Mytilus edulis: one gene and its partner. The protein of the gene in region 1 purifies or fractionates together with the protein of each later gene. This does not show direct contact. Links are inferred from orthologs where the notes say so. Each region holds a gene or a part of one and is shown on either strand. Other genes may lie near its edges. The genes, in order: ribosome biogenesis protein wdr12-like and ribosome biogenesis protein bop1-like.

Region 1 (9,988 bases):
GTTTTAAAAGGGATGTATATGTGTGTGAATATAAGCCAAAAATCACCATGAATGAGTTGTGATATTTTTTTTTAAAAACAATTATTTATAGAAAGGATTTTTATCAGAAAACATTATTTAGTAATCAAAACACATTAAAATGGATACAGCAATAACCAATAGTGTAGCACCTTGTTCCCCATATCCAATACATGTCAGTTTATAAAACAGAGGATCCAATTTCTATATAAAAACACCTTATGGTCAGCTCTGGTATTTGTCAAATTTAATCTGTTTTGTTGTGTTGATTTCTAGGTAAAAATTCCTGTACAGACAGGTTCTCAGCAGAAAACAAAAAACTTATTTAGCATTTTCTCCATCATAGTCAATATTATTAATTCAACAATAATCAAAGATTTATTCAAATTGTCTTTTGATCTCAATCAGTCGTCTATTTCCAAAGTGAACAATGAACATAAACCAATTTTATGATTGTTTGAGCCTGAAGTGTACGTATATTTTTCTTTAAAAGGCATTTAATAGATATATAAACCTGGACCAGTGGCACTCATTCTGTACTTGTACTAAAATGTCTTAAAAACACTTACTGTTGATATGCCTTTGTTTTCTAGATGCTTATCTAAGTTTAGTCGCAGAAATTCTCCATCAATTAAAAAATCAAAATCAACATTTGTCTTCTCACCATCGCCCTCTGAAATTGAAAACGATCAATACAAAATTATTTAATTAAAAAATAATTTAATTAAGGTGGTACCTAACACTACAGGGAGATAACTCTGTAGAATCAGCTAAACGTTTTAATTACGTTGTGTTGTTAAGGGAATATTAAGCTTCTCAATGATCAAAATGTGTGTTTGTCAAACTGCTATATAACCAGTGTAATTTTCCTGATAAAACGTTTGGTTCAAATATTTTGAAATTTTTATATTTTTGTTAAAGGGTCAAAGTAAATACTTTGTCAAAATTTTATGAAAATTAAACGAGTCAAATTAATTTTAGTAAAGGTGTTGGGTACCTTAAAGGTCTTATAACAATTGAGAACTGGATATGGCTTGATATCAACTCAAGTTATATAATATTATTATACTGTAAACCAACTTATTTTCCCAGATACTTTATTTCGAATTCAGCCCTTTCAGACCACTTCCATGCAATTTTATTTTGTGATTATCAAAGTTACAGGATATATTTAAATGAAGGTAGATTTAAGGAATAACAGTACTGTAGTTGAAGAGTTGCCACCGTCAATTGTAGATTTGATGGTCGCAAATGCAGTTTTACTGGCGACGCGTAGCGGAGACAGTAAAACGGAGATTTGCGACCGTCAAATCAAAATTGACGGTGGCAACTCTTCAACTACAGTACTGTTATTCCGATTCTAATGCATTACAAAAAGAAAAAAATACAATAAAACTTGACAAAATGTCTAAATTTGACAAAAAGAAAAAAATCTGCGAAACTTCATGAATGATTTTGGCACAAAGACGTCATGGCTTAACGTGCATCGTATAAATAAAAACTTTCAAACTGGAGTTTATTACATTACCTGTACGCTTCAAATTCGGATAAAATTACATTAAAACGGCAAATTCGAGGTAGGTGTTGTTTTTATTTTCGATTATATAGAAGTAAACGAACATTTGTTGATTCAATCAATTCAAAATGGCGGTCCCTCCTTAGTTACGCCTGGTCAACTGTGGATTTGACGGCAATTTTTAGCCAATGAAAAAAATTGTAACATCCAAATTGCATTAGAATCTATGTTACATACATGCACATATTCAATGTTAACATACTCTCAATTTAGCTGCTCTTCTTATTCAATACAAATATTTTTTCTGCACTAACTTAGAAGCAAAACAAAAAAAATTATATTAAGCACTTTTAAACTTTTTCATCAGAATTTACTTTACTCCTTTTAAAGATCAACTATGCTCTATATTTTAAGGTTGAAAAGCATACAAACCATTCAATAGACTGTTTATTAATGAACTCAGGTCACATGTTCCAACTTGTGCTTGAACTGAAAATGGTGCAGATGGAACTGAAAACCTAAAAAATATTAAAATTCAAAATGAAGTGGAAATGGATTTCTTTGTTGGTTTATTCTGACTTTTTTCATTCAGCGACTAATAATTTAATGCAACAATACTGTTGACTAAATATTATGGTACATTCTTTCTTTAATGATTTTACTATCTGCTGACAAAGAAAAAGAAATAACATGTAAATCCTGATAAATATAAAACACTGATTACCAATAGATAAACACTGGTACATGTAGTAATCAACAAAGAAAACAAATAAAAAGTTCACATCTTATGCTAAGTTTAATGTATCTCTATTTTTCAATTTTTTTATCTCTTAGTTAAAAATTCTCCATCTCAAGCTTCTCAACTTAGAAGGGTTTTCCTGCCAACTGTCACTATTTGTGGGGGATTTCCCCCATGGAAGCTCCCAAATGGAAATTTTGAAAGAGCAAATTTGTTAACAATTTTAAACAAAACAATGACTTTTACAATAGCTAAAGGCTTTTAAAAGTATGCAAAAGCCCAAAACCAACATCAAAATGTATTTGAAGGCCCCCTTGAAGGTTTTGTAGGACTATATGAGCCACCTTGCACGCAAAAACCCCATGGTCATTTTGAAAAGTTGGCAGGTATGTGACTTCTTACACTAGTACAATGTTTAATTGTTGTTGTTCAGGAAAATAGTTATCAACCGATTATCTCTGGTATTTCAACTCATAAAACATTTATAAAACAATATTGTTAAAAAAACAAATCTAGGTCCAGATCTTTCAGACATTATCTTGGTTCTAAAAATCATAAAACTGTAAGAGCCAACAAAAAACATGATCTTCATTACCGGTAAGTTGTTTTACCAATGTTATTTCAACTGATCAGGCGGAGCTTATGTTTTAATTTGCATAAGGACAATCTATTTAAAGATGTGTGTGATAAGGATGATTGCCGTTATAATTAGTATTGAATTCTAATCACCTATCAGTGTCATCAAACACATATACATTTTGTACTAAAGAACTGAGTGTGTGGTATGCGAAAAATAACTGGACACTTCATTGATGAGTCCCAAAACTCCTGTCCATAGATGGACTGGTCTTAAATGAGCAAACTTCTTAAACCCCGCCCAGTCAAGTGAAATAAATCTAGTATTATCTTGAATTAAATTGGAAATCCAAGATATCAAAGAAAATTTTGAGGTCAAATGTGCAATATATCTAGTTAAAATGACACAATACCCCAAACTGTTGTCTCTGGAATCTTGTCGGCATTTTTTTCATACTACACATTACAATGAAGATTTTAATGCATAATTTCCATGGGACTTTATTTATGTTATTAAAGGGGGAACTAATGCCATTCGATGTACCCAAGATACATTGCAAACAGTCCTTCCTTTTAACCTTCTTTTCTAGTATTCTAAGCTTAAAATCAAAGTAAAATGCAATTTTCAAATGGTGCAATGCTCTATTTTTGGGAACCCTCTGTAAATTAAAAACATATTTCAAGGGGAGTTTCTATGTATGCTCTTGAAAGGAGCATAAATTAAAATGAGTTTCTGATTTCTGCTTTCTGAAAGAACTGCCCTTGCTGATAGGTGTTGTTCAGGGAAAAACTCTCCTGAGAAATTGTGATGATATTTTCTTGGCATCCTAACAGTTATAAAGAAGAAAATAAATTTGTTTGACTAATATCTGACTTATCTTGATGCTGAGCTTGGAAAATCAATCGAATTATCGGTTTTAAACGGGTACTTCTGGAGTACACCCTCTTTAGGTTTGACATTAGGAAAATAATTTTAACTAATAAATTGATTAAACATATTACTGAGGTTGTTTTGTAAAGAATCTGGCTTGGACATGTGGTATGTTGTTTGTTTCCATTTTATCAACATGTGGGGAGATAGTCGGAAATCTTTCATAAACTAATAACGTCAGAGAAGTTCCGAACGAGTGGTATTATTACCGTCTTTCCTCAAAATAAATGATAAAATTTCGTACAACCTGTGATTACTGTTGTATGTCTCTGGTTATACGATCTTATATATGTGTTCACTATATAAATACTTGGTTGTTAGAAATCTCAGGTACAAATAATTTTAAAAAGAACTACAAAATTCAATTTTCAATTTTATTAAAATTGAAAATTGAATTTTGTAGTTCTTTTTAAAATTATTTGTAGAGTGGGGTGCTCATTTTCGCCATATCTTTCGATGTTTTCTACAGTTTATGTTCCGGTCTATATGTTTTTGAAGTAAACTGATATTTCTATATGAAGATTACTTCCAATGCAAAATATTTTTAAGCTTGAAAACGTGTTTGTTTGAAAATAATCATCTTAAAAGTGAGACTAAAGGGTGTTTGAAATTTCTTGATGTTTTGTCGATGGGGGACACATATTCGCCGTTTTTACACATCTATTTAAAACCAAATAACTTTAAACAATGTTTATCAAATCAATGTCATTATAGATGAATAGCAGACATTTCAAAGGTGTAATGAACTGAAATTTAGGGCAATCAAGTCAAAGAATTACTTTGAAATGCTTCTTTGAAACCATGTTTTTCATTCAGGAAATCAGCCGAAAATCGTTGTCTATTTTTCGGTCCTTTGCGGTAATTGCCAAAATTTTGTCTCAGATTAAAAAATAATCATGTTTGTTATAAAAATATAATTCACCGGCATATTTCTTCATTTCAGCCATCCTTTGAAGTTTTTACACCCCAAAATCATATAACGGTGAAATTGTGTCCCCGGCGAATATGGGCACCCCACTCTATAAAATTGAAAATTGAATTTTGTAGTTCTTTTTAAAATTATTTGTACCTGAGATTTCTATAACAATCAAGTTATACTCTACGCAAGGATTTGTATAGTGATACTATACAAATCCTTGCTCTACTTTAGAATAAAGTTTTTACATTTTCTCTTTTTTTTATACAATATCTTGTCTGTTAGGTTGTTAATCTTGCACATCAGAACAATGCAAAAACTTGAATTTTCCAACTTCATGTCCTGTTGCCATGGTAACCGTTGTTCATAGAAACCAAAAAATTGTTCTCATTTGATTGCCTTGTGAAACTGTATTATTCTGTGTTAGTTTAACAAAGGATATGACAACATATGTCACACCGATGATGAAAGATATAAAAAAACTGCTGTTGATCACTGTTTCGTTAGGGGTCACAAAAACGTTTTTCGGGCAAAAAATAGTCTGGTGACCCATATTTTTTTTTATTTCTTTTTAAAGCTCATTGTTATGACCATCTTATGTCAAATTTAAAAAAATATTCATTGGACCATTTTTTTGGAAATTTAAGAAAAATAGAAATTTTTAACAAAATCTGTGTTTTTTTTGTGGAGCAGTGTTGATGAAATTAGAGCCGAAATCAATGAAAATGAATAAAACTGCCATTATTTGTGTTTTATTTACATTTTAAATAATAATTTTGTAATAAATGAAGAACAAACCTTTCAAAATACTTTCAAAGGCTTAAAAAAAAATCCAGAGTTTCTACATCAGGTATGTATTTATGCATACACGTGATGTGCCAACTTTGGTGACCGTTACCATGGAAACGAGTCTGGTGACATACTATTTTTAACTCAAATTTTCATAGAGGCCATTGCATAGTATATGTATGCAAATTTTAAGAAAAATTCAATGGTGAAAAAAAATTTGCTATATCTGTAGGGATCCGCCTTAAATAATTTTTATATACTTTTCATAAGATGCCTTGATGCAATTTCATCGAATTTTCATTTCATTTTTTTTCTCCAGAAAAAGTAATAATTCACTGTAGGCCTTTTAGTTTCAGCAGGAATTGTATCGTAAAGCTTCTATAGTATACAAATCTTTGGTCCCAGCATGAATACAAAATTGATACTCATATAGATTTTGAAAAATAGAAGATCATCTCGGCAATAGATTTTGTTGTTGAATAAATGATATGACTCGATCTGCTGCAACTTGCATATAAATATAAAGCATCTTTCTGTAAGGAAAAGGTTAAACATGCTAGTAGAAATACTTCGATACGATTCAGTAAAACTGTAAATGTTCTCTTTGACACATATATTACTAGTTTTCGACAATAATGAACTTCGATATGTTAAAATTGAGAATGGAAATGGGGAATATCAAATGTCAAAGAGACAACAACCCGACCAAAGAGCAGGTACTGTGACAGTCGAATGGTGTATGTATTCCTATGGTGTATGTATTCTTATGGTGTATTCATGTATTCCTATGGTGTATGTATTCCGATGGTGTATGTATTCCTATGGTGTATGTATTCCTATGGTGTCTGTATTCCTATGGTGTATGTATTCCTATGGTGTATGTATTCCTATGGTGTATGTATTTCTATGGTGTATGTATTCCTATGGTGTATGTATTCCTATGGTGTATGTATTCCTATGGTGTATGTATTCCGATGGTGTATGTATTCCGATGGTGTATGTATTCCTATGGTGTATGTATTCCGATGGTGTATGTATTCCTATGGTGTATGTATTCCTATGGTGTATGTATTCCTATGGTGTATGTATTCCTATCAACACCTATTGATTCCGTACTCTTTTATAGAAGCCTTGGTTGTGCACTTTTAGTGGCAGCCCTTTTCGGCTGTATCGTATGTTTCCATAGTTGTTATTTTGTCTTATTTTGTTTTTGGAGGGGGACTTTATATATAAACACTAAAAACACACTGACATGTCGCTGGAATGGTTAACTTTTTATATGTCAAATACATTATTGAGGTAGTATTTCATATGGAAAAATGTCTGTACAAATGCAATTACGATCTCAAGCATGTAACATGTCTCTATGATCTCAAATATGTGACATGTCTCTACGATCTCAAGCATGTGACATGTCTCTGGATGTCTAACTCTTACTGAGAAATATATAAATGGGTGATAATTTTGTATCGAAATACATATGGGACAATATTGAGAAGAAAAAAACCTTCAATATTCGAATACCCATTATAGGGGGTCGTGAGATAGGCGAAAATCCAAATCACCAACAATCTAATGTTAACCCCAATAAATCCAATTTAACCAACAATAAGTGTCCTTTTCTATATTTTCAATTATACTCAAAACGATATGTGTCTCTAATAAATCACGTCTCCTTGTGCATGTCTTTTTTCGAACTCGTTTGCTGTCCACCGGTATCTGTAATAATCGTTCCCACATTGTAAATTCCTACAGAGAGCTTAAACGCGAAACCCAAATTTGTAAATTCAAAAAAAGGACATTCACCCTTTGCTATCCATATCAGAATTGTTCAAAACAAGCCCACTTGGCTAAACGTCCACAGCACATGCAACTATGCAGTTTTAAAATTATTCAAAGCAAAAATATCACAAGGGCGTACGCAACGGCCATCTCATCAAGTTATCAAACTCACCATACAAATAAAATTCAGAGAAACCCTTCATGACATTGATCATACATGGTATTCAAAACAATTAAGAGACAAGTCTGATATCCAATGAGTACAACTGATGCCCACAGTAACACATAAGCCTGGTATCCTAGCTGTACGAGTTTTTAGAAATCTGTAAAAAGATTCCAATGCTGATACATACATAAATTTGCCTTGCTCATTGTTGAAGGCCGTACGGTGACCTATAGTTGTTAATGTCTGTGTCATTTTGGTCTCTTGTGGACAGTTGTCTCATTGGCAATCATACCACATCTTCTTTTTTTATATAAATACATATATTGAATGTGTTTGGTTCAAACAAGGAAAAAATCTCGAAATCAAGTACTATCACCTAGATGAGTTAAGGATTCAACAAGGGGACTTGTACCTCAATAACTAAGCAGATAACGCACCAAAACATATTCTAAATCCAGGTTTCCCTCATATCTTTAATACAGTATTAAATTAAAATAAAAGGTAGATAGCGTAAAACAAAAAAAAACAAAACAAAAAGTGCGTGTTTTTTTTTAGCTCAGACAAAAATTCATAACCCTCCTTCCTTAAAGTCAAATGATTGCTCCCAAAGCATTTTAAAATGTTTCAATTTTAGAAAGTGCATTTTTGGCATCTTCATGTTTTGTTTTTTGATGGTCTTTGATATAGATAAAATTTTATGATGTCACAGTAAGTAAAGAGGACTTTTCAATGGATGGCGAAGTGTATTTTCGTTGAATTTCTATTTCCTTATTTTCAATAAAAAAGAAGCCTAAATGGGTTTCTATTTGTATCCATCTGATGAGTTAAGGTATGTCATTGGTATATATATTTCCTTAGATATAATTTTCTTATCATGACTTTGCAAAAATAAAGATTTTACAATGCTTTTTTGGCAAAAATATAATAAAAAGTATGGGTCACAGTGCTATTTTTCAAGTAAATCAGTCCAGTATTATTTTATTACAAAAAAGAGTTATCTCCTCTTAGATTGCTAAGTTTAATAATTGATTCTAAAAGACACTAATATTTGATATTTGTTTAAACATCTTGGACAATGCAATCAATCACTAATTTGTCTTTCAATATATAAATGAATAGTCTAACCAATTAATTGCAAATCTGACTCAAAATTTGCAGATTATAGCAGAGAACTGGACCGATTGTGTACTGCGATTGTACAATCCAAGATGGTGGTATACCATGAATCTACCTTTAGTCTGATTCAACTGTTTTTTTTTAGTTCTTTCTCATGATAATGTTGTACTATTACACCACTATCTCAGGTAAGGGCAAGGCCGTATAGCTACCCTTGAGGCAAGTGAGGCCATTTCAGAATCTAAAGCACTATGGGTAATTTCATTGTTCGTACCCCAAAATGAAAATAACGTCACGTCATTGGCTGAATTTTAATTGTTTGGGACGTTATAAACCAATCACCACGCTTTGGTGTACACTTTTGAAAATATTACCCAGAATGCATTAGATTCTGAAACGGCGAAACCTCACTAAAATTTCGACACTGATTTTTTTTTATACATATATATAAATATAATAGTCATTTGTTGTTCTGTCTCAACCTTGATTTCTATAACTTGTCATCATTCCTTTTAAACTATTCTTCAGTCCTGGATAAAACTCAGCATCTCAACGGGTGATGTTTCTCAATTACATTAACCTAGTAACGATAATCATCAAGGATCTCTAGTTAAAAACAGGCTCTTGCAGAAAAAGGAAAAGCGACACTGAAGGTGTCCTCGGCTTGATCTGAATTATAAATCTTAGAAAAAATAATTTTGTATTTGCCGCTAGAAAAAACTTTTGCAAAAGTCAAAGGTCAAATTTATCCAATGATAAAAATCGTACTATCCATGACTTACAGAACAACAAAAACAGATTTGTGGGCGAAGTCATCGGTCAACTTCCGGAATAAGAAGTACTTTCTTCCTGAAGAAAATTTCTGCAATGTTTTAATCCCTACTTTACACTTACAGATGTAATTTAGAAAACAACGTTAATTAATGGCAGACATAACAAAGTCATGTTACTAAATCGGATCAAAGTGAGAAACAGGTCTAAATTATCTTTCGTACTCACTAAATAAACTAATGCAAAGAACATTTTGTCAGAAAAGAACATATTAATAATAAGTTATGCAACTGTCTCCGACTAAACTCTAAGGTTTTTTTCTGTAGCATTGACTTGTGTAGACCTGTGGAATTTGCAACAGGTCATTAACAATTTAAAAATAGAACATTCTGTAAAAATTAAATAAAACAAGAACAACATTGCTTCTGCTTCTGCTGTCAAACAAAATTAAAAAAAAATCAGTTTGTCAGATTGAAATAAATACACCATCATGTCTGACCAAGAAGACGACACTGATCTAGGCTTTCCAATTACCAGATTAAAGGCCTTATATGATTACTCCTATAAAGATGACGATGGTCACATGATCACAATGAAACAAGGGGATGAATATCATTTGATATCTAAAAGTGGTGATTGGTGGGAGGTGGTTAGAGATTCAGGGAATG
Region 2 (10,346 bases), on another chromosome or scaffold:
GATTCTAATATCATTGTCATGGATACCATTTTTGTGAAATGAGGAAAATAAGCATTTCATGGATATTTGATTTGTTGTAATTTGCCAAAGTCTGCATAGAAAATGGATAGTTCCTTGATTTGTCTCCCCTAGAATAGTCATGAATCCACGTTCCTTGATTTGTCCCCCTAGAAAAGTAATGAATCCACGTTCCTTGATTTGTCCCCCTAGAATAGTAATGAATCCACGTTCCTTGATTTGTCCCCCTAGAATAGTAATGAATCCACGTTCCTTGATTTGTCCCCCTAGAATAGTAATGAATCCACGTTCCTTGATTTGTCCCCCTAGAATAGTAATGAATCCACGTTCCTTGATTTGTCTCCCTAGAATAGTAATGAATCCACGTTCCTTGATTTGTCCCCCTAGAATAGTAATGAATCCACGTTCCTTGATTTGTCCCCCTAGAATAGTAATGAATCCACGTTCCTTGATTTGTCCCCCTAGAATAGTAATAAATCCACGTTCCTTGATTTGTCCCCTAGAATAGTAATGAATCCACGTTCCTTGATTCGTACCCCTAGAATAGTAATGAATCCACGTTCCTTGATTTTTGTCCCCCTAGAATAGTAATGAATCCACGTTCCTTGATTTGTACCCCTAGAATAGTAATGAATCCACTTTCCTTGATTTGTCCCCCAGAATAGTAATGAATCCACGTTCCTTGATTTGTCCCCCTAGAATAGTAATGAATCCACGTTCCTTGATTTGTACCCCTAGAATAGTAATGAATCCACGTTCCTTGATTTGTCCCCCTAGAATAGTAATGAATCCACGTTCCTTGATTTGTACCCCTAGAATAGTAATGAATCCACGTTCCTTGATTTGTACCCCTAGAATAGTAATGAATCCACAGTAATCAGAAAAACATGACTCATGAAAGTGATTAATGCTAAAATATATATGTATGACATACATGGTATGTAGGTATGATATAACTGGTAAACATCTATTAAATGCTTTCAATAATACTTTAATTCAAAGTAAGAGTTGTTTCATAATCTAAAGTTTTGAAAGATTGGAAGGAAACTCTTGAAACTAGAATCACACAAAATATAAAATGTTGAAAATTCCACATGAATCTTGAAGATCTAACATGATGATCATGCATGACTTACCTATTGTTTACTGTTAGTTTATAGTTACCTTTAATTTTTCCCACTTCGATGGAATAAAACTTCTTTTGTCAGCTGGTCTGTTGGTAACAGGATGTATCATTGTCTCATGTGTAAAGAAGTCAATCCATGGCTAAAAAAGAAAAAGTGTATTTCAGTTGTCCATCAAACAAGGTAAACGTATTGACCAATAAGAGAAAAAAAAAATGTTTAGAAATAAATGATTACATCCATTCAAACTAGATACAATCAATCTATTTGTATGTAAGGTTAGGATTTTGTTTTCATTTTCATTCTTTTGCTTTTAAGTTTGTGTTTTCCCCCTTGTTTTTCAACAATTTAATAATTTAAATACATCACAAACTCTGAAATCAGGTGGCCTTCTTTCTCTTGATATTTATACCTCATATGTTTCCTTTGCTCCTCCAGGTGTCCTCTGTAACATGAGACCTTCTATCAGACTGACATCTTCCTTGGTCAGTAATACATTTTGTCCCGTCATTTTGTTTGTCACTGTTCTCCTAGGGTTAAAATTATATTGGATTATATATTAGTTTTATCAACATATTCTAAATATTTGATGTGTACAAGTTTACTATAACTATAACTATAAGCAAAAGTTTACATCTGCTGAAAACATTTCAATGCATGGCATTTGTTATCAAAACTAAACATCATATACATGTAATTCCCTACAGAACTAATTTGAGGGTTCATATTAAGTTATCTCCCCTTAATGGTTGTCAACCTCGCTGTTCACATTAAATGCAGGCCCAGTGTTGATCTATTTTTTTCTCTATTCCTTTAGAGAAATATAGAAAAAGCTTGATATAACTTTTTTCTTTTTTTATAAAGATAAACATCAATAGTTGTCACCTTCAGCTTTTAAATTCATACTGAAGAAAACATATAAGAGGGTGGTAAAGGGGGGTACTGAACACGGAAACACGTGAAATAAAAATCGCAAAAACGTAGCACGAAAAATAAAAATCGGGAAAAATGAAGCACGAGAAATAAAATCGTAAATATTAAGAAAAAAAGTACCAGCAGTTATTACTCAGCCGTTCATTGTTAATGGACATAAAGACCTTGTGGTCACTTTTTAGGCTAGCCTATGCTACTTGCATCTGATTTGAAAAAAAAAATTATTATGATGGACTCTATTACATGTATAGCATACATATACAATAGAAAGTAGAATGGTAACAATATACATCAATTTCCATTATATTACACGTCAAGTTTCAAAAGGTACTATAACTCACTGACTTTGAGTTAGTTCCAATTTACTTTTTAATAAAATGAGGAACAATGCAAGAACGAGAAATTAAGAGCACCGACACGAAACACGGAAAATAAATAAGGGGAAATACGAAGCACGCACATCGAACTAAGCACGAGAAAACGAGAAATAAAACACAAAAACACGAAAACACGTGAAATAAAAAGGCCGAAAACGTTGCACGAAAATAACCCTTTACCACCCTCATATAAATTTTACAGAAATAGGTACATTCCAATCTCTCCAGATCTCTTCTACATTGAATGAGAAAAAAACCATACACATCAATCTACTTTTAATGAACATGTTAATACAAACCAATAATCTGGATTATCCATTCTCTGTAGAAACTCATCCAGTTCATCTCCTTTTTTGGGTTTGATTAACTTTCTTCCCTCTACATCATAACCTATATGTGGATAGTCCCTATACCATTCCATTGGAATGTTACCCACGGTGTTACGGATATCCTGAAATATACAGCAAAAGTAAGTTTTTTTTTTCTAAACTCTAACTTATTTGTTAATCAACAAAGCACAAATTTTTTTGGTTTAAATTATTATGAACTTTATTGTACAATTTACATGTTGACATATGGTGTAGACACCTGTATTGTGAAGACTACATGTTTTCCTCTTGACATATGGTGTATACACCTGTATTGTGAAGACTACATGTTTTCCTCTTGACATATGGTGTAGACACCTGTATTGTGAAGACTACATGTTTTCCTCTTGACATATGGTGTAGACACCTGTATTGTGAAGACTACATGTTTTCCTCAATACGTCTTGGATCACTGAGTAGCAGGGTTGCTGTCTCCTTTGGGTATAAACAACATCTTCATTTATCTATGAGAATATTCAACTGCATGATCACCTATTGTGTTTTGCTATCGTAAATATTGATAAATAAGTAGAAATAAGAATACTTTCCATTAAACAAACAATTATTTATATACTAATGATGTACAAGAAATCATTTAACCAATCAAATAAGATGATAACATTAATACTTAAAATACTTTCCACCAATCAAAACACTTACCTCTTCATCAGAAGAATCATGATAGTATTCGTCTTCCACTGTTTGAGATGTTGTTCGTGTATTATTTTTATCATTATATTTATTTTTAGCTGCCACATTAACAGTGTTTGTATCTTCTTCGTTCACATCTTTGTCTTCTGTATCATTGTCAATAACATTTTCTTTGTCACTTTCACTATTATCCCCATTCTCACTGTCTGATTTGTCATCGTTCTTTACTTCCTATTGAAAAATTATTTATTAAGTTACAAATCTATATCAGCAATTTTACATTTCAACCATTGTAAATAAAATTGAGAAAAACATATTTTTCATGTTTGTGAAACATTGATTTTTGTTGTGTCTTTCATTCTTTATGAACCTGTATTATTATTTGATGGCATTTATTTATAACCTGCATACCTGAACATAATTTGTTTGCGTATGTAGGTATTTTTTTTAATGAGAGCTCGTAAGCCAATTATTGTGGTCAGACCATACTGATGGTAACTTGATTTTCAATATCTGTTTGAAGTTTTTCCTCAATCACAATACACAACAGGTCAATAATATTTGATATGTGGTTTTGTAGTTGTTTTGAGTAAGAATTTAACAATATTATGCATGTTCTGTATACATGTTTGACAAATATCTTAAACTGTTATTTGACATTAATGAAAATGCATGCCTAAACTTTTTATGACCTAGAACCTTAACTGATGCATTGTCCTCTCTAGCCCAATATAGAGGTGTACAATGCCTGGCTCATTTAAAATGTCCTTTTGTCAATGATTCATGTTGATAAAACTATATCCTTTAGTCTGAAACATTCAAATCTTTGATACTTTTAACAAATTAAAGAGATATGAATTTCAATTCTTTAATACCCTAAACAGGTAGAAGAGATAATTCCTCGATACTGTAAACATGTAGAAGAGATATGACAATCAATTCTTCAATACTCTAAACTGTAAACACATGGAAGACTAAGAGATATGACATTCAATTCTTGATACTCTGAACACGTAGAGGAAATAGTTCCTCGATACTGTAAAGATGTAGAAGAGATATGACATTCAATGTATATAAAGGTAGATATCTATACCTCATCATCTGATGTGTCTGGTTCTTCTTCTAGTCCTGAATAAACACTTTCTTCTGAATCTGTTGTGTCACCATCTGATTCACTGGCTGATTTGTCATGAAACAAATCCATCTACAAGAAATAATTGGTTTTAATAAATATAAGACACTGGCTGTCATAATATTATGAATATAAATCCATATTAATAACATTGATAATGATCCCCAAATTTTCACAAATTTCATATGTGATAACTATTGGCTAAAATTGTCATGATCAAAACAGACCTATGGTTTAAATGTGACTTGGACGGAGAGAAGTCTCATTGGCACTCATACCACATCTTCCTATATCTATATACAAGTAAATATGAAAAAAAGACTAAAATCAACACTGACCCTGTGACTCTATTCATGGCCCCTGGGCCCTCAGCAGCAGAATGTAAAAAAGGACCAATTAGGTAACATCATAAGTATATCAAACAAACAAGGGGTCTGTTTGTATAACTTTGTGAACAAGAAAGAGACAGAAAAGTATCAGCCATGACCGGTAATCAATAAAAAATAAGTGTGTAAAACTAGTCCAACATGTGCAGATGTGTATGGGTGCATCACTGTCAGTTAGCTACATTACAAAACATGAGTAAAGGATCTTTAACACTTTAATATGTGTTTAAAAGATATGCCTTCCTCTTCATACACTTTTTTTAATCAATAATCAGACTCTTCAATAATTTTCTAAGTCTCATGACATGATGAATGGTCTGTAACACAAATTACTTGATATTTTTACGAAATCTAAAATTTGAGATGTCTGTAAATATGTATTTCCATTACCTTTAAATATTTTTACAGGATATGAGTCCTAAAGCCACAATATGACAAAGTATAGTCTAATACAAGCTGATAAAAAGTACAATCTTTTTCGATGTTTACATCTCATAACCGGAAACACGCTACATGCAAAAACAAATGATATCTTTGAAATAATTTTCATGTCTTTCATCGATGAATATTCTCAGATGATAGGAATATAGGGATATATTGAAAAACAAAAAAATAATTACATATATTTTAAAGACCTTTGTTATTCTTAAAACCAGAATACAGTATTATCATTTACATGGGTCTTATTTACCAAGGGAGAACACTCGGTAACACACACACCGGTAAGTAAGAAAAACGTTTTTTATTAATCTTTATCTAGTCAGTCGAGTGGTTGTTAACTGGTTAAAAGTATTGTTTGGTTTAGTTAAAGGCTGTGATCCCTCACCCCATAAAAAAAACAAAAAATTGGATAAAAAATAAATGAATAAACAAACAGCAAGAAAGTCAAAATAGCACAAAAAAATTATAAATTTAAATGAATGTAAGAATGCCCTTCCGTCAGACGATAAATTTTCATTTCGGCTACTGTTAGCGTTAAATTTGTTAAAAATTTCACTGTGTCTCGCCAAAATTGTGATTCGTCAAAGGTTTCAAATTATTATTGTGAGTACTCAAAATCAGTTTATTTCTTGATCGTCTTTGAGAAAGTGTAATTTTTATCGTCATGCACTAAAAATTACCGTTAGCGTTACGACCCTCATTTATAAATTTAGACTTATCAAGTTGAGCATAAATAATTCCTAGTAGGGTTCTACATCTCTGTGAAGAATAGGGCTCTTCACAGTTAGTTTGGCCATATTGGATAGAGGGCAGATTTTCATAATAGAGGTAAAAATAGTGTGAAAATACGGGAAAACATCATTAAAACAGAGCAGATGCTTGATAGCACACATAGGATTTCCCATACTTTCATACTATTCCCACCTCTTTCTAAAAAATCTGCCCCCTATCCAATATATGAATATGGCCTAACTAACCGTGAAGAGCCCTATAATTTGAAATGAGTGTCTGAAGATCAAAGGTGTTCATAGAGTAACCAATCGGAATAAAGAAATAGAAAACCCAGGATGTAAATACTTATGTGAACCATCATACTGTACATGCTGTATACTCTGTCAGAGTCAGTCAATAAGTCAGTACATGAACAAATATATACAAATACTATTTATAAAATTAAATTATCAATTAATATAAAAAAAGAAGATGTGGTATGATTGCCAATGAGACAAGTGTCCACACGAGAACAAAATGACACAGACATTAACACCTATATGTCACCGTACAGCCTTCAACAATGAGCAAAGCCCATACCGCATAGTCAGCTATAAAAGGCCCGATATGACAATGTAAAACAATTTAAACGAGAAAACTAACGGCCTTATTTATATAAAAAATGAACGAAAAACAAATATTTAACACATAAACAAACGACAACCACTAAAATACAGCCTACAGGCTCCTGACTTGGGACAGGCACATACACAAATAATGTGGCAGGGTTAAACATGTTAGTGGGATCCCATCCCTCCCCCTAACCTGGGACAGTGGTATAACAGTACAACATAAGAACGAACTATAAAAATCAGTTGAAAAAGGCTTAACTCATCAGATGGACAAACATACAAGTGGACGTGGCCGGGTACTTGTACATCCCGACAACAAAAAGACACTAGGAACAGATCTGAGAGTACTTGCAGTTATCTGACAGCTAGTTCAAAGCCACTAACAACTAATAAAAAAAAATCATGCATCTAAGCTGTACTACATAAATATAAATTTATTAAATATGAGTAAATCATCCTTAATACGGATAATTCAGCATGTGCTATACTGATGACGTTTTCCTGTCGATATAAATCAGGAGTTAATATTGCTTTTCAGACAGGTATAGTAGTGGGAGTCAGAAAGTGACCACTCTCCATCTGAGTCACAATTTGTAAAAGTTAACCTTTATAGGTCAAAGTACAACCTTCAACATGGAGACTTGGCTCACACAGAACAGCAAGCTGTGAGGGACCCCAAAAATAACTAGTGTAAAAAAAATTAAACCATTCAAACAGGAAAACCGATAGTCTAATCTACATGCATATAAAATGAAAAACAAGAAAAACACTTATGAACCACATCAACAAACAACAACCACTGAACATCAGGTTCTTTACTAGCCAGGTGCAAACAAATGCAGTGGGTTTAAATGTTTTTATAGGGAGCCAACCTTCACCCTAACCTTGTGTATTTATTTATAGTACTATCCAACATGTGTCCAAGGTTGCACTAGCCTTTTAAAAAAAATGGATAAATGAACATATCAGTTTAGCATGTTTAGTTTTGATTGCAACACTCAGCATTGTTTTACTGGATGAACTTTCCTCCATGGTTCATCTTTCATTTATGGAGCTCCATATGTACTAGTAAACTTTCCAACAAGGAAAATAATTTGTATTCAGTATTGTAATTTAAAAACTAGTTTCAGACATATAGAAGTGAGATACATGTACAATGATGTCAAGAAGCCAAAATTGTGTGGAGATACATCATTAATCATGTTAATATGCAATACAACTGACTTAAAAAAAATTGTATATTTTTTTTATTGTAGAATATGTCTACTGCTGAACTTCAAGATTATTTAAAGACAGCTACAGGAGTAGCCAAGGAGGCAGGGGAGGTAATTATGAACTTAAGCAATGTCATTGATAATTTATATTCACATTTTTTTATTTGGATTATAAACCAATAATGAATTTAAAAACTTATTTATAAGGTACATATAAAAATAAATTACAAAAATTTCCTACAGGTACTGAATTTTTTTATAAGTTAATTTTTTGTTTTGCAAATTTTCAGTATGTTGGAATGATGTTGAAGTGATGGCACAGTCTTCAACCTGACCCAAATGCACAAATGAATATTATATTCTCCAATATGTTTACAATTTAAGGTGATTGTTGTGTTGAAATGATACATTTTGGTCTTACAATATACGCTGCATTGTTATTTATCTTTTCTCAGGCAAAATATTCCAATTGAACACACTTAAACACTCTTTAAAGTTATATATACATGTATGTAGTTGAATAGAAAGAATAGGCTACCCCCTTTGCAGAGATGCAAACAGTTTTTTTTTCCTGTCAGACATTGGGGCCTACAGGGTACGAAGTTTTGCCAGACCCATCACATTTCTGCCAGACCTATATTTTCACTCAAAATAATCTATGTAAAAACTTTGTAATATGTCTATAAATAACAATGAAATGTAACTGTTTCCTGTTAAGGGGTTTCCCGAATTTTCCCGCTAAAAAGCACATGGCTTTCAACAATTGTAAACAAAGCATTCAATTTTTGATCATGGATTACAGCTTTAATTAATTGAATTTGGATATAGATATTCAACTTAAGGTACAGTCAGGCAATGTTTTTACTTTTTTCTGGATTAAAACTAATTTGAAAGAAAAGTTTAAAAAATAAAATATATTGTGAATATTCAGTGACCCATAGATTTTTTGAACTCTGCTACGGAGGTTAAAGTTACGTCATTTTTCAAACCAATGGTGTGTATTCTCTGTTAAATAACTGCGTTTGATATAAATATTTCAATAAATTAACAATGTCAAACATACGATTTCAAAACTGAAATTTATACTGCAAAAGGTTTTATTTTTATTTTTTAAGGAAGGATATTTGGAAGGTGTCCGGCTATAATAGTTATCATTAAAACAGTTTGAACTCCCGATTTCTATTATGTAATCGAAGCCTTGAATGTTGTTCTATCTAATCATGCAACGTGGTTGTAAATTCACAATTTTATAAACAAAATACTCTGCCAGGACCGACCGGGGAATTAAGTTTTGGCTGACCCAAGCAGACTAAAATATTGACGGCCATCAGGTCCTGCACAGCAACGAGTTTTGCCGGACCTGCATAAATTCTGCCCCTTAGGTCTGACAGGTCCGACGATTAGTTGCATCTCTGCCTTTGACAAATAGGGAAAAACAGAAAAATGAAATGAATGTTACTTGAAGAAAAATGGTATAAGGTTATAGAAAAATAAAATAAGATAAAAATAGAAAGACAAAAAAAAACAAAGTATACTAAAAAAAAACACCTAAAAAACCCATGCTAAATGTTTAAAATGAATATTACCAGTAAAGTTAGTCATTAAACTGTCATTTGAATTCTGGTATTAAGGGTCATTGGCTATTGACATGACCTGTTTGGATTGATATTCATATCAGTATACATGTATATCTCATTATTTAGTTGGACAAGGCTTGTTGTATTTTAAACATTAAGATTGATAATAAATGGGTATGACTCAATGATCGGACATTCTTTGTCAGAAATTACCCAAAATTTATATTCCAGGTAGTTAGAGAGGCCTTTTACAAAGAGAAATCCTTACAGACCAAAAGTAATTATGCTGACCTAGTGACAGAAACAGATCAGGCCGTAGAGAAACAGATAATTAACTCATTGAAAGAAAAATATCCAACTCACAAGTAAGGATAATAATCATTATGAGGCGACATATCTCAGTTTTACATTAGAAGTATGAAGTCCCATGTCACATTTGCTTTTAACACACACAAATACATTACTATATGGATTCATTAATTTTCGTGGGTACCAATTTTCATGGATTTAGGAAAATTTTCATTTTGCTGGATATTTGATTTCGTGGTTTTGCCAAAGCCTGCATACATTTCTATATAACATTTGTAATTCATTCCTCAATGAAATTCGTGGTTCCCAGGTTATGATTAAATCCATGAAAATTGGTATCCAATGAATAATAATGAATCAAAAATAGTCTGCACTGTTAGCCACTAGTCTGATGGATGTTCCGGATCCAGACAAGTAAAATTTTATTCGGACAAGTAAATATTTGCAGAACTTTCTAATGACACATAAGGAAA

Evidence for each region.
Region 2: the proteins of ribosome biogenesis protein wdr12-like (region 1) and ribosome biogenesis protein bop1-like purify together in Homo sapiens (affinity purification with western blotting; 6 studies listed by BioGRID and IntAct, with this or other methods). This does not show direct contact. The link is inferred for Mytilus edulis from reciprocal best matches to the Homo sapiens genes WDR12 and BOP1.

The regions. Positions count from the first base shown.
Region 1 is NC_092345.1:84,386,232-84,396,219, reverse strand, and holds the start of ribosome biogenesis protein wdr12-like, read right to left. Parts: upstream 3,979-9,988; 5' UTR 3,908-3,978; coding exon 3,852-3,907; intron 2,053-3,851; coding exon 1,967-2,052; intron 692-1,966; coding exon 588-691; intron 1-587. Other genes in the region: rho GTPase-activating protein 15-like, read left to right, coding at 9,811-9,988.
Region 2 is NC_092348.1:8,560,898-8,571,243, forward strand, and holds the start of ribosome biogenesis protein bop1-like, read right to left. Parts: upstream 6,147-10,346; 5' UTR 6,132-6,146; coding exon 6,111-6,131; intron 5,779-6,110; exon of another isoform or gene 5,754-5,778; intron 5,712-5,753; exon of another isoform or gene 5,646-5,711; intron 5,520-5,645; exon of another isoform or gene 5,380-5,519; intron 4,676-5,379; coding exon 4,565-4,675; intron 3,703-4,564; coding exon 3,481-3,702; intron 2,904-3,480; coding exon 2,752-2,903; intron 1,673-2,751; coding exon 1,555-1,672; intron 1,285-1,554; coding exon 1,183-1,284; intron 1-1,182. Other genes in the region: inositol monophosphatase 1-like, read left to right, coding at 8,033-8,098, 9,796-9,929. UniProt on the Homo sapiens protein: Component of the PeBoW complex, which is required for maturation of 28S and 5.8S ribosomal RNAs and formation of the 60S ribosome.